Tamandua tetradactyla: one gene and its partner. The protein of the gene in region 1 interacts with the protein of each later gene in a pairwise test. Links are inferred from orthologs where the notes say so. Each region holds a gene or a part of one and is shown on either strand. Other genes may lie near its edges.

Region 1 (7,049 bases):
AGGTTCACACCCACAGGAATGGATTAACTTTAAGAACATATTTTTCTGAGCTACAGATAGTTTCAAACCACCACACACCTTTACCCCATATTCTGCCATAGAAAACTAGAAAGAAAACAACTATATCTTGGCTTAGAAATTAATTGCATTCTTAAAAACTGTAAGAATCATTTTGTTATAAGCAGACTTATCAAGGTCAGCAAGATACAATGTCCACTGGTGAGTAGAATCTGAGGGAAGACCAGGCTTCAAGCCCCCAGACTTCCCCTGGACTGCACTATGGAACGTAAAGTGCAGCCTTTATACCCCAGAGCAGAGTGCCAACGACCACCATTGGATATCCCACTGAAGCCCACTGCCCAGCCATTATTCCAGTTGGAACAATCCAGACTTGGAGAAATGTACTGCTGATCAGAGACAGGTCAATTCTTAGGAGTATTAAATAGGGATTTTCAAAAGTTTGTTGGAAAATTAGCAAAGAAATGAAGAACAAGGTACTTTTTTTAATTTTTAAAATTTTTATAAGAAATAGGTTTACAGAAAAATAATGTAGAAAATACAGAGTACCCATATAACCACACACACACACGTACGCACACACACACAGCTTTCCCTGTTACGAACACTTTACATTAGTGTGGTACATTTATAAAAAGAAATGTACCTGGAACAAGAACCTGAAGTTAGGAGCTGGAGTGGGATGAAGGACCCCATCAAGGGAATTGAATATCCTAGGGCTTTATCTCATGGACTGTAGGAAAGATTATACACCTTTGCCTTTTCCTTCTTCTGCTATACAATTCAATAGTTCCTTTAATTATTCCAACTATTTTACTAAAGTTTAAAACACCAGAACCACATACAGTAATTTTGTGTGGTGATCAGCTGAATTGTAGATGGTATTCTATGGTGTTTCATGTTGGAGACAAGAGCAGATACTTAAGGGAATACTAAAAGAATATTTCTAGATTTGGAGCAGCCTGGTATTTAAGTTATACACTCTTATAGACATTACCCCTTTCAGTAGAGCTTCTTACAGGAGTGAGAGGGTGGCCCAATGAAGATATCCAATAAGGACCTAGAATTCCTGTATTCTGAACTGCTGCATGGGATAAATCCGTGCTTGGAAATCAGATGCACAGTGAATTTAAGGAACCTATCCCAGACCCGATGAGCCACAGGAGAAGTAGCAAATTTAAATTTTTCTCAAAATGGTCCTGTGTCACACAAACAGCTGCTTCACAGAAAAGATTTTGCCTTAAATATGAAATTGAAACAGCTGTTACTGCTTTGTAATAAAGTTTAAATGAAGTATCATGTCTTACATAACATTTCTTTCTGCTGAGACAAAAATGAACTATAGTAAAAACTCTCTTAACCAGTTTTACCACCAGGTGAAATTGCATTCTCTGTCGTAGAAAATGAAATTAGTGGAATATTAAATACTTGTGACTAATAATATTTTGTAGTATTCCATACACTTTTGCTCCTAGCAGATAGATGAGTTATATGCTTGCTGAGAATCATTGTAATATATTCCCCTAATTATTTTTCAGATCCCATGGCAGTGTTTATTCCCCAGGAACAGAGATAAGAACGGGGATGAAACTCCAAAGGGAAACAGAAACACAGATGACGAAATGACGCTAAGGTGTCATGACTCAGGAGTCAGGGGTGGCTGATCCAGTGGACCTGATCACAGCACAAGTCCCTGGTTTCTGAGGGTGACATCTGCACACCCCAAATGCCAAGTGAGGATGTGGAGGGTGGGGTAGAGATGTGGAAAGCTCCCTACACTATATAAAGCAAATGAACGCACCTACCAGTTCTGAGAGGTCTCTCTGGAGCACCAAAGTCTTCCCTTTCAAGAACAAAGGTAAGCTGGCAAGGATGAAAGGGACTTGGGTGCCACAGACAGCCTGAGACTCACACAACAGTCTGCTATGCCTGACGGCATATGTGCTCACATAAAAGTACAAGGGACGCAACCACTGGTCCAGGCAGCTTCAAGTGTTATGGTGGAGATGATCGATCTTGCCAAATTGGACCCAAGAGCAGTTATTACCAGAAATGTTATTTCTGTTCACTTCAGAGGAGATTGCCTGTGTTGAATTAGAGCCACTGTCCTTTTCACAGATGTTTCACAGCTTCTATCCCCCTTTCTGACATGCTCCTGCCCCCTGCAAGCCTAGTCTTCTAGAAAACAGATTGGTGAGTGTGCTAGAAAAGCCATGTTTTAATCAAAATTCCATTTTGTAAAGGCAGAATAATCCCTATTCAATACTGTATGTTTGAAACTGTAATCAGATCATCTCTCTGGAGATGTGATTTAATCAAGAGTAGTTGTTAAGTTGGGTTAGGTGATGACATGTCTCCACCCATTTGGGTGGGTCTTGATAAGTTCTGGAGTCCTATAAAAGAGGAAACATTTTGAAGAATGAGAGCAATTCAGAGAGAGCAGAGCAGAATGACATAGCCACGAGAAGAAGAGTCCACCAGCCAGCAACCTTTGGAGTTGAAGAAGGAAAATGTCTCTGGGGGAGCTTCATGAAACAGGAAGCCAGGAGAAGAAGCTAGCAGATGAGAAGCTGTGTTCTCCATGTGCCCTTCCAGATGAGAAAGGAACTCATTGTGTTTACTATGTGCCCTTCCACTTGAAAGAGAAACCTTGAACTTCATCAGCCTTCTTGAACCAAGGTATCTTTCCCTGGATGCCTTCGATTGAACATTATTCTATAGATTTGTTTTAATTGGGATAGTTTCTCAGCCTCAGAACTATAAACTAGCAACTTATTAAAGTTCCCTTTTTAAAAGCCATTCCATTTCTGGTATATTGCATTCCAGCAGCTAGCAACTAGAACAGTGAGGTCAAGGCAAAAACTCTGCCCTATCCTCACACCCCCATGATGCTGAAGTCTCTATTGCACACACCTCTGAGAACGAGGTTGTCTGGGGTGGGCACAGTCCTTCAGGGGCTCCCCCCATCCCTGTGGCCCATGTAGAGTAAATCAATTATATTATTATTATAATTACAAATTATAATAATAAATTAAAAGTCTAGAAAGACTCAATGGAAATGGATAATTTTTTAAATGTCGTTTGATAATTTCGACAAACTAAGACATAGAGGAAATAACTATACATTTTAGGGGAAAGTTTACTTGTCTGTTTTCACCCCCACAAGAATCTGAGACTTTTATGCTTCTTTGATCATTCTATCTCTAGGACACTGCATGGCGCTTATCTCTTAGTAGGTTCAATGAACCTACAACTGAATGGTTGAATGAATGGATTGTTTACATAGACCAATGATTGAAGAGGAGCAGCATATTCATAAGGCAGTAATGTAGTTGAGGGAGAAGGCAATTGGGCTCTTTGTCAGTCACAGTAGGACAGAACTCACTTCAGAACTCACTTTTGAGGTCCTGCTACTTTTACCTTTCACTTTCTTTTTTATCTTTCCTTTTATCTTTCACTTTCTTAAAAGAGAAAATGTGTGCCTATTCCCATTCTTTCAGGATCTGGTTCTTCATCTGCAATTTAGCAATATCCTTAAAGTAAAACTGTTAGCTTAAGGTATTACTCCAATCCAGATTGATACTTCCACAGGGGGCTACTGAATTCTGAAGTACCTTCCATATTTAATTAGGTATATCTAATGGATGATTGCAGGCACAGTGACTTGTGGTGAAACAACTATTTTGAGCTTGCCCAGTGCTGCTTAATCTGCAGTCTCCCCTGCCAACTATTCATGCAAGAGATGTAAGGAGGGCCATTAAAAGCAATGGGGAGGAGGTGAGGGAAGGACTTGAAAAGCCCTGATTAGCTGCTTTACAGTAAAACCCAGAGAAAGTGTGGACTAACAGGAATGTGGATCTTATCCTCCAGGAATTCTATTTAGCCAGCCAGGAATTAACCTTGACTGTAATTTGGCTGTCACTAAGAGCAATGACCCTTTCAAAAAAATGTTTAGAGACCTCAACTTTGTTTACAGACCTGTGTGGGTGGAACTTCCTGTTTACACAAAGTGCAGTATAAAGCCCAGTTTCTTGTGGGGGTTTGAGGACCAGACCAAGTGCATGGAGTAGGGCACAATACAATCTGCTGTCTTCACGTACTTTCTCCCTGCAGCATGGGGCAGAACAAACCCCTTCATCCAAGTCTTCTTCTCCTCCTGGTCCTCCTGCCCATGGATGCCTCCGTCTCTGGAGAACCGTGAGTTTCAGAGTTTGAATATTCCTTTATTTCAAATTGTCCTTTATAGGATTCCTTTGTCTCTCCTATGAAACTGTGTCCTTCTTTTCTCTAAGTTCCCTTCCAATCATTAGATTTTGTTTATCCATTTTTCACTTCGCCTTGACTCTTTTGCTCTGACTCCCTGGATCTCAGAATCTCTAAATTCCCAAAGTATATGCAAAGGCCTTCTAGAGAGCATAGAAAATTGATACGTTTAAAATTATCAATTTCCAGACTCTTACGTTCATTTTGATCTGCCTGTGATCATGCTGTTGATCCTTTCATATCACACACACACCCTTTTTCTTAATCGCCCATCTTCCACTTTTTAAAAGAAAGATAAACTCCTTCAACCAGAACCTACAGTGGCACATTGTGCCAAATAAAGTAACCATTTGAAATACTGATGTTGATATTGAGAAAGTGAAAAGTTTCCAATGACAGGGGAGAAAATCCTTTTACAGATCAGGTAGTGACCAACTTTTATTTAAATAAAATTGAAGGATCTACAGGAAATATCAGTTGATGCACTGATAATAGAGTTTTGCTTATTTGGGGCATGTAATGCAAACGTTGCAAAAAATGAGTGATGATGATACATTTGTTTTACCTGTCATTTATTTAATTATAATATGAACAATTTTTCTCAGCACTTCTATTTACATGACCCAAAAATAGGAACAGAATTAATGTTAAACCTTGTTTAATCCTTACAATAAGGCATATTCATCCATGGATACATAAATTTGGAAGGAAAGTCTGCTTTCATTATTGTGAAAAATGTGCTTCAAAAGTATGTTAATTTTATATGTATGAATCAGAATTTGTAATATATTTTTATCTATCACATACTTATCAATCACTTCTGAAAATAATTCAACCCAGAAGAAAAATTTTAAATTTTTAAACTTCATAGTCTTATTAAAGTTAAAAGAATTAAAGCTAAATTAATACATCCTCATATACTATTGCATATATACAAATGTACATTTTGAAGCATAAAAATCTTAAGATAAACTTCTGTATGTTGAGACATGGAAATTCAAGTTCAAGGAGGACAAAAGGGAAAGACGTTAAACTTATAACCATCAAAAAAAAAGGATTTTTAATATATTTTAAAAATAGATGATATTGGATCTCCTACTATGATATATAAAATTTCATGGACACCTTATAAGGGTAATGTAAGTTTTCATTTAAAATGTCATCAGAAATATCTTTTGCTATTATTTAGACTTGTGATGAAAAATAGATGTTTTCCTGAAAATATGTAAGGGTGAACAGTGCCAAAATATTAGGAGTTCTGTTATCAAAGTGTTTGAAAAATTGCAGGTCACATATATGCCCCATATATATATTTAGTAACTCCTTCCAACTCACGAGTTATTAAAATCCTGGAGCTCTTGTCTAGCCATGAGATGAAAGGCAAATATTTGAAATGCAAACGCCCATGTGTAGGTAATACATTAAGACTTCATTATTTACCACAATTAAAACTTTTGGCTGTTGATTCACTTTCTTTAGGCCTCAGATTGCCATTTCATTTTCACTAGGTTATTGAATATACATAGGCAATTAAAGTTCTGTAAATTGACTGGCTTTTATAATACCCACATCCCATGCCCCAGCAATCCTCATGTAAAATAGATTTACAACATGAATAAACAATTGACATTTTAAATTTGAGTTCAGATACTCGCATATAGAGATTGCTTAAAGTGACGTACATTTGTAAAATTTGAATAGGTTTAAGACCCACTTTAAGTAAAGTGTTCACTGCCATGGCACTGCTGATGCAAAAGGGGACTAATTCTCGTGCAGGCTATTCAACAAAAATGTCAAATTCATGCTTAGCAAGTCAGTCTTCTCTTGGTCTAGAACTAATGACGATGATAACTGTGATGGAAATGGTGCTGTTGGTGACAGTGCTGCTGCTCTGTCTGGACTTCCTTCCTTCTCAGGCAGTATATGGCGCTGGTCCCCTCTCTGCTCCACACTGAGACCCCCGAGAAAGGCTGCCTCCTTCTGAGCCACCTGAATGAGACAGTGACTGTAACGGCTTCCCTGGAGTCTTTGAGGAGAAACCAAAGCCTCTTCACTGACCTCGTGGCAGAAAAGGACCTGTTCCACTGCTTCTCCTTCACTGTGAGTATGGCTGTCTATTTAATATGCTGGATTCTACAGGTCAGTCAAGAGAAGGCTCTAGGAGGCTGGTAACAACTTCTTGAAAGAATCTAAATGTGGCAACTGAGTACAGCAATTAAAGAACTATGCGTGAATTTCCAGCCATGAGGGACAGAAATATTTAAAGGCATTTAAAAAAAACAACTTAATGATCAAAGAAAACTCCTGTTGGCCAAGTGTAGTGGGTGGAGGTGGGGAGGGAGAACTGTGTGCATTAGACAAAAGGAAAATGCGATTTCTCCTTAACATCAAAATGGACTAAGCATTAACAAAGCAAACTAGGCCAAAGCTAAACATGAGTTTCCAAGTGTGGGTTGATAGGAATACACTACCTACACTCCTTTCAAGAGTGAAACTTGTAGAAATTGCTTTGAGCAAATGTCAAATGTCTCTTCAAAATTGGGAAATATGGGATGTTTACATCCAGTTCCAATAAAATATTTGTAGTTTTTTTTCTCACAAGCTTAAGACATACTTTTATCCTGCCCTATTAACATATGGTATCAACTTGGTAAATTTCAGGGTGTAACTGAAATCAATACTGAACTGTCTCAGCTATATGGAGACATGAGTCTCATTCATGATCTTTCCTACTAAATGAAGTATTTCCCTCCATTTGGTAGGCCAGA
Region 2 (7,018 bases), on another chromosome or scaffold:
TTTGTAATTCAGAGGAATAAAATATTTTGCTTTAATCTCTTCTATAGTCAGAGATTTCGTGTGCCTATTGAACATGCTGTTCTTTTCTAAAATAATAACATGTCACCTGCAAAGTTATTAGAGTCAAAGTAACTAGCAAGAAGCTTTGTTGGCCTTCTCTCCTTAGAAATTCTGAACTACAACCTTCAAAAAGTCACTGTCAAAAAGATGTTCATGATATACTCTTAAGAAAAAAAAAGTAGGGTTATAACAATTGTACAGAATTATCCTATTTTAGGAAAAATATTACATAGAATATTGCAAAGAAATAAGTCTGAAAACCCGTATTGCAAAGTCTTAACAGTGGTTATTATTTTGGGGGGGTGAGATTATAAGTATTTTTAATTTTAATATTTTTCTTGCCTATAAATATATTTTAACTTATCTTCAATGCACATATATTATTGTGGTAAGGAAAATTATTACATAGTTTAGTAAATAAGTATTTTATTCATTTTCAGCACATTATATTTTTATATGTAAAAATAAAAAAGTATTTTTATACTTTTAAAAAATCCTTATATATACTTATCTGTATCACTTATATCTGTATCATATAAGCAGATTAAAATTTTAAGTATAATTTCCAAAATAGTAAAATCATGACTTTCATATAAATATAAGTGCTTAATGGACACAGGATTTCATTTTGGAATGATGAAAATGTTCTGGAATTAGTAATGGTTATAGCTGTACAACATTGTGAATATAACAAAAACTACTAAATTGTATACTTTTAAATGGTTAAAATGATAAATTTTATGTTATATGAGTTTTATTTTACATTCTAAAAAGTTAGAGAAAAAAAAAAACTTCTGAAGGCAACAGGCAACTTCACACCAACTCAGATTATTATAATCAAAAGAGACCCAGGTTCGATTCCCAAAGCCTGCCCATGCCAAAAAACAAACAACAACAACTACTACATAAAAAACAAAAACAGGAAAATGCACAAAGTTCCTCTTTGGAAAGATGGACATATTCTGGTATTGGATGGTGGTGATGACAGAACATTGTGAATGTAATTAACATTTCTGAACTGTACATCTGAATGTGGTTAAAAGGGGAAATGTTAGGTTGCTTATAAGATACTAGAATAAAAATTTTTTAAAAACTCCATGGAACAGCATAACACAGTGAATCCTAAGTTAAACTATGGACTAAAGTGAATAGTACAATTATTAAAATGTGCTTTCATCAACTGTAACAAATATATCACACCTATGCAAAGTATTAATGGGGTGGTATATGGGAATCCTGTGTTTTATGCATGATTGTTGTATAAACCTACAACTTCTCTAATTAAAAAAGTAAAGGTTCTAACTTCTTCAAATATATGGGGAGTCATAAAACAATGAGATACTGATTTACTTTAGATTAGAATAAAAGGTAAACTATAACTACGGATTTATTAAAAACAAAATGAATAGCCTCGAATCACTAGAAAAAAAGAGACTAGAAGGAATTGTTCTTAGATATTAATAGTGGTTACCTCAGAATGTCTCAGGTAAAACAACAACAGGTCTTCTGTAGAGAAAATATTCTTTGAAGCTTTTATTTCCTCTTTAGGTTTGTAAACTATGCTCAGTTGTGACTATCCTTAGTTGAATGGAATGTTAATGTATGTACTCAACAAACATTTATGATTGCCTACTACATGCTAAGAACCGGGTATTGAAAAATGAAGAAGGCATGGTTTCTACCCTTGGAAAAGAATTTCAAAATTCTATTAAAAACAAGCTCTCCTTTCCTTGTCTTTACTACTCAAAAAAGGACACTGCTGAGTTTCTAGGCCTTATATGAGATGCCACTCTGTTACACTATATAAGTTCATTTTTCCTATATTAATTAAAAAATACTTATTGACTACTTTGTGTCTAAAATGAAATAGATACAATCCTGAAGAATGTATTTCAAAGTTCCCCTTGTAACAGAGTATCTTGTTTTTAGCACAAGAAGAGCATTACTAGGTTTCTATATCACATATACATTGTCATTTTATTATACTGTATCATTCCATCCTTACCTATAGGCTTCTGTATATGAAGGAAAATCTGATAAAATGATCTGAATAAAATTTGATAAAATGATCCAGTCTTTATTATGTCTTATATTACTTTCTGGCTTGTGTTCTTGTTTCAATGACAACCTGAAGACTTAGCCATCCAGATGTCAACAATTCTAGTAAAGAAAGAAAAGACATGTTGCTAGCTTATTAAATTTTTCCAAACTTTCACTAATTTTTAAAGTAAGAACTATTTTTTAAATTTCAGTCTAAAGTATCTATTAAGTCATACCATTTATTTACTGGTAATACAGCTAAGAGTTCTAAATAATATACATTACACTCTGTTAAACCCATTGGAGAACTGTAATCCATCCCAGAAAAATGTAACTTAATTTCATTGTAATTATATTTATAGAACCTTGGTAGAATCATGAAGTAGGTAAAATAATTTGTAGCAAATATAAGCAAACACTTCCAAAAGGTGCTCTCGGCATAGGTTTACTCCTCTAACATGATTTACGGTTTATTTTTACCACGGAACAGATAGATTGAGGTGCCCTGTGCTTGGTTACACTTAATAAAACATGACCCTGTTCACTTTTTAAAAAATATTATCCTAATTATACTACTGGTATTCCTCTGCTTTCAAAATAAAGGAGAATTTGAATATATGATGTATAATTAAAGAACTGTCTCACACCTAAGGAAGTCACAATTTCTACACAGGCAGTCAAACTGGAGTAATTGCTAAGCTCAGAAGCTAGCAGTTAAGCACTGTTTCACAGACTGCTCTCGGCACTAAAACACAAAATCTGTGCTGTCATACCACTTACTGATTTTTGCTTTAAAGTATATAAAGTTTTGATCGAGGTCAGAAAGCCCCACGATATGCCAGGTCCTGACAGAAGGTTAGAGTTGAAAGGTAATCAATCAGGTTCAGGCCTGGTTAAAAATTCAAACATCCTCAATACTGCAGGAATGAGACTATGGTATTGGAATAATACGTTAAGATACAGGGCTTTCTGAGCAGACTAGTGGTTATCAGGGGTTGCTTAATGGGCAAGGTGTTTCCTTTTAAGGTAAAAATGTCTTGCACAACACTGATAATGTACCGAATGCCAAAGAACTGTACACTTTAAAACGGTACTTTTTAAAAGTAAAACATAAAATAATTTTTTTTTTTAAAAAGCACGATACAGGGCTTTCTGGCAGAAATGAACTTCACTTGGAGAAGGCCCAGACATTACAATGCCTATCCATCGGTAGCAAAATCGGATAGTGTCACGCCCACCTCAAACAAAGCAGTGTGGAAAGCTTCAAGTATTCTCCCGGCTCGACCCTAGCTTTAATAACAGCCAATTAGCCGGCACTCGACGTGCTGGACTCATTTAGGTGAGAATGAGAAATCACCAAGACATTCGTCAAACTCTTCTAGAAAGAGGCATCACCAGTCACCTAGAAATACTCTGTGAGCAATAGGCAACACACACCAAGGGTGGGAACCACAGAAGCCATTTTTTTTTAAGGTTTTTTTTGGGTTTTTTTGTTTTGTTGTTGTTGTTTGTCATGAGGGGAGGGTACTCAGAAGATTCTATAAGCCAAAAACGACATTACATTCCAACCTAGGTGCTTAATTACAACGGATGCATTTGCCAACGGGGAAGCGTCTCACGGTGAAATGTGAAAACCCAGTCTAACTCTCTTTCTCAGGCGTCGAAACTTTCTTCCAACGCTCACCACCATCACCGCCATCATCGCCATACCCGTCAGCAGAAAAGCTCCCTCCACCAGCCGAAGAGGGCGGAGACTTAGAGGGCACTCCCGCCCCACAGCGCGAACTGCGCCCGCTGGGATTCCTGGGATCTGTAGTTTTAGTCAGCGTCCATCCTTTGTGTAGACACGTAAGGAGAGAGCCAGAAAACTACAATTCCCAGAGTGGACCGGGGTGGCGAGCACCCGCGGCAGTGACGACTGTGGCCGAGAAGGCCCGAAGGGCTCTGCGTTCTGGAGTGGCGCTGCTTGAACGGGTGGCAGGGTGCAGGCTGGTATCTCCGCGGCTGAGGCGAACGGCGGGTGGATTCGGCATTTCCTGTCGAGATCCCCGCAACGATGAGTGCTGCCAGGGAGTCCCACCCGCACGGGGTGAAGCGTTCAGCCTCCCCAGACGACGATGTAAATAACAATGGAGGAATGGTTGAGGGTTGAGGCCTACTAAAGGCTGCGGTAGGCCGGAAAGGGTGGATGAAGAAGAACGCGCCAGAGGTGGCCCAAAGGCGGAAGGTTGGGGGGGGGGGGAGGAACCAGTAGAATTACTGGAAATGTATATCTTCCTTAGTTAGGGTCGGAAAGTGTGAAAACAAGGTCCATACGCCAAGAGCCAGAGACCTGCGTAGGAAGGGGGCTTGAAGAAGGATACCCTCAAAGGGTCAAGAAGTGAAAGAGCTTAATGAAAGGATCCTCATATTTGCGTATTTGGAGAAAAAGGAATGGGGAATGTGATAGTGCTTCTTTTGGACCTTTCTATTCAGCGTAGAAATAGCAAGACTTTCTGTGTTTTACCTTTTAATTACACCTATGATAACGTCAAGATGTTCGTCAGATTGAAGTAAATTTTTTGGGCAGGGTGGTTTTTCAGTGTACTCGTATGACCGAAAACAATGTTAGGCCGAAAATTTTACCAGGGGAATAATTTGGTACTGGCACATGGTGGTGAGGTCCAAGGCGGTGAGACCTAGAAGTCCATTTTGATGTCAGATGCCTCATTTTCCCTTCTCTTGGGAAAATTCTTCCAGCTCAGTTTGTCAGTTTAAATAACAAACCACTAACTCTTTAAAGTAACCCATAAAATATTTACTGCTTTACCTGGTGTTGGGAATGCAGAGATGAATAGGTATCGTGCGCCTTTTTGTATATTTGTCGTAGCGCAGTGTCATGGAGACTGCAGGTAATCGGTATACCTAAAACCAAATCTTTCCTACAATAGATGATGCCATGGGAACGTTGATGGGGAAATTGAGGTTACGGGTGGGCTGGGAGGTGGAAAAGTCCTTACAGGCGAGGTCAAATTTAAGGATAATGAAGGGATGACATCTAGTTTTATTTCAGTTACTGTTACTGATTTTTGAATGTGTAGACTTTTCAATAATGCAGTTAAATGCTTCTCATAATCTTATTTTGTGAACCATAAGAAGGCGGTGGAATACTACTAATGCCATCAGTTGTAATAGAGGAAATGGTGGTAAGAGCCACTCCTCTGTAGTTGGAAGGTGAGATGAAGACCAGAACTGTAAGGGTGTTTAAGGAGATTAATTTTAGGTCCTTAGATTTGGGACTAATGGTTATCCAGTAAGTTTTATTTATGCCCTCTCTTTCTCCCTTCTACTAGCCTTCAGGGTTTTGAGTAACTTAGCTGCCATTTTTAAAGCTATTTGTTTTCCTCCTGGTATTTGTTAGCTGTGGCTTGATTGCTAGGATGTCAGCCACCTGTTTTGCAGAGAAATAATTAGCCTAACAGAAAACTCCAGGTGATATTTTTGTTATTTAACGGAAAGTTAAAGGGATTAAGTCTCTGCAACTTCTGATGCAGTCAGTTAAACTCTATCTTTAAAACCTTTTAAAATTCTAGAGTCATTCCCTTTGAAGGAGATCGTTATAGTTGCAATTCAAGATTAGGGCCTTCACACACTAAAAATGATTTTATTGCTAATGTTATAGTACAGTGCAGTACAGTAAGTTTCCCTCGATCTTGTTTGAAGTCAGTTTTTTCTTTAATGTGAATTTTTATTATTTTTACTGGTAATTGGGGTTATCGTTAAGTACTTGATTTTAGTAATTTTTAGTAGTTTTTTAATTATTACTTTAATAATGTAAAGTATATTACATTATTACATTATTACTTTAAAAATGTGAAATATATTTTAAAGAAATAAATCTAAATTGTTGTGGAAAACCAACTTAGTTATAATACATAGTTGGTCAACAGTCTCTAATGAACGTCCACTGCATGTAAAATACATCACTTTTCCTTTGCCCACTGAGCTTATTTGTTAATTGGAAGTAACGATATATACATATTTTTGGAAGTAACTGTATTTTAAAAGATATTAAAAGTAGAAATTGCATTAACAAATAGAACTCTCAGAAAATGTTGGCAGTATAGAAGTAAATTTTAAGTAAGCATTATTAGGGGATGTTTCGAGGAGGTAGATTGATTGCAGTTCTATGGTAAATGTTATTAAGGGTACTGAGGATGAAGACAACTTAAAAATTGCTTCAGTGGTTTCAGTGTTTTATTGATTTGATTGGAATGGAGAAATCAAAACTATCTTTGGGGAGTGGGGAGGTTAATTTTAGCAACTGGTGGAGAGAGAATATACTGGGCCTCCCTGTGCTTTTTCGAATGCAGCACTTGAACGATGTACTACTTGCTCTTATACTCTAAGGCCTTTGAAAGGAAGCATGAGAGGACTAAATGGATGAATCAGAAGGATTAAAGAAAACATTAAGATGATAGGGTTGTTTATGTAAATCATTGAGAATGTTTGTTCTTTCAATGTTGATAGAATGGGAAAAGTTTTGTTTTTTAGACAGGTTTCTTTTTAACTTAAATCTGTACAATTTTATAACTGGTTCATAGGCTATTTTCTCATACTCTTATTTCATCTGATCATCCAATATGATGTGGAAAGAGCAGAGGAGTTAAGGTTAGAGGATCTAGGCAAGTTACTTAGCCTCTCTGCACCTCAGGATCCTTATTTGTTAAATGGACTGTTGTAAGGAGCTCTTGAGAGAATGTAAGTGAAAAGCACTTTGTAAATTGCAAAACATTGAGCAGTTGTTTGTGTTAAGACAATCTTTTAAAGAAGCCTCTGTAGATAAGGAATTAAAACTAAGAATTTAAATGTTAGGTTTAGACTCACAAAGGAGGAGATTTAGTGAAAAGCCGAACTGAAGTTTCACCAGTACTTTTTT

The links.
Region 2: the proteins of alpha-2-macroglobulin-like (region 1) and C8H11orf58 interact in a two-hybrid assay, tested with the Homo sapiens proteins (2 studies listed by BioGRID and IntAct). The link is inferred for Tamandua tetradactyla from reciprocal best matches to the Homo sapiens genes A2M and C11orf58.

The regions. Positions count from the first base shown.
Region 1 is NC_135333.1:71,347,157-71,354,205, reverse strand, and holds the start of alpha-2-macroglobulin-like, read left to right. Parts: upstream 1-4,047; 5' UTR 4,048-4,132; coding exon 4,133-4,215; intron 4,216-6,197; coding exon 6,198-6,381; intron 6,382-7,049. UniProt on the Homo sapiens protein: Is able to inhibit all four classes of proteinases by a unique 'trapping' mechanism. This protein has a peptide stretch, called the 'bait region' which contains specific cleavage sites for different proteinases.
Region 2 is NC_135334.1:92,139,488-92,146,505, forward strand, and holds the start of C8H11orf58 (small acidic protein), read left to right. Parts: upstream 1-4,004; 5' UTR 4,005-4,156; coding exon 4,157-4,219; intron 4,220-7,018.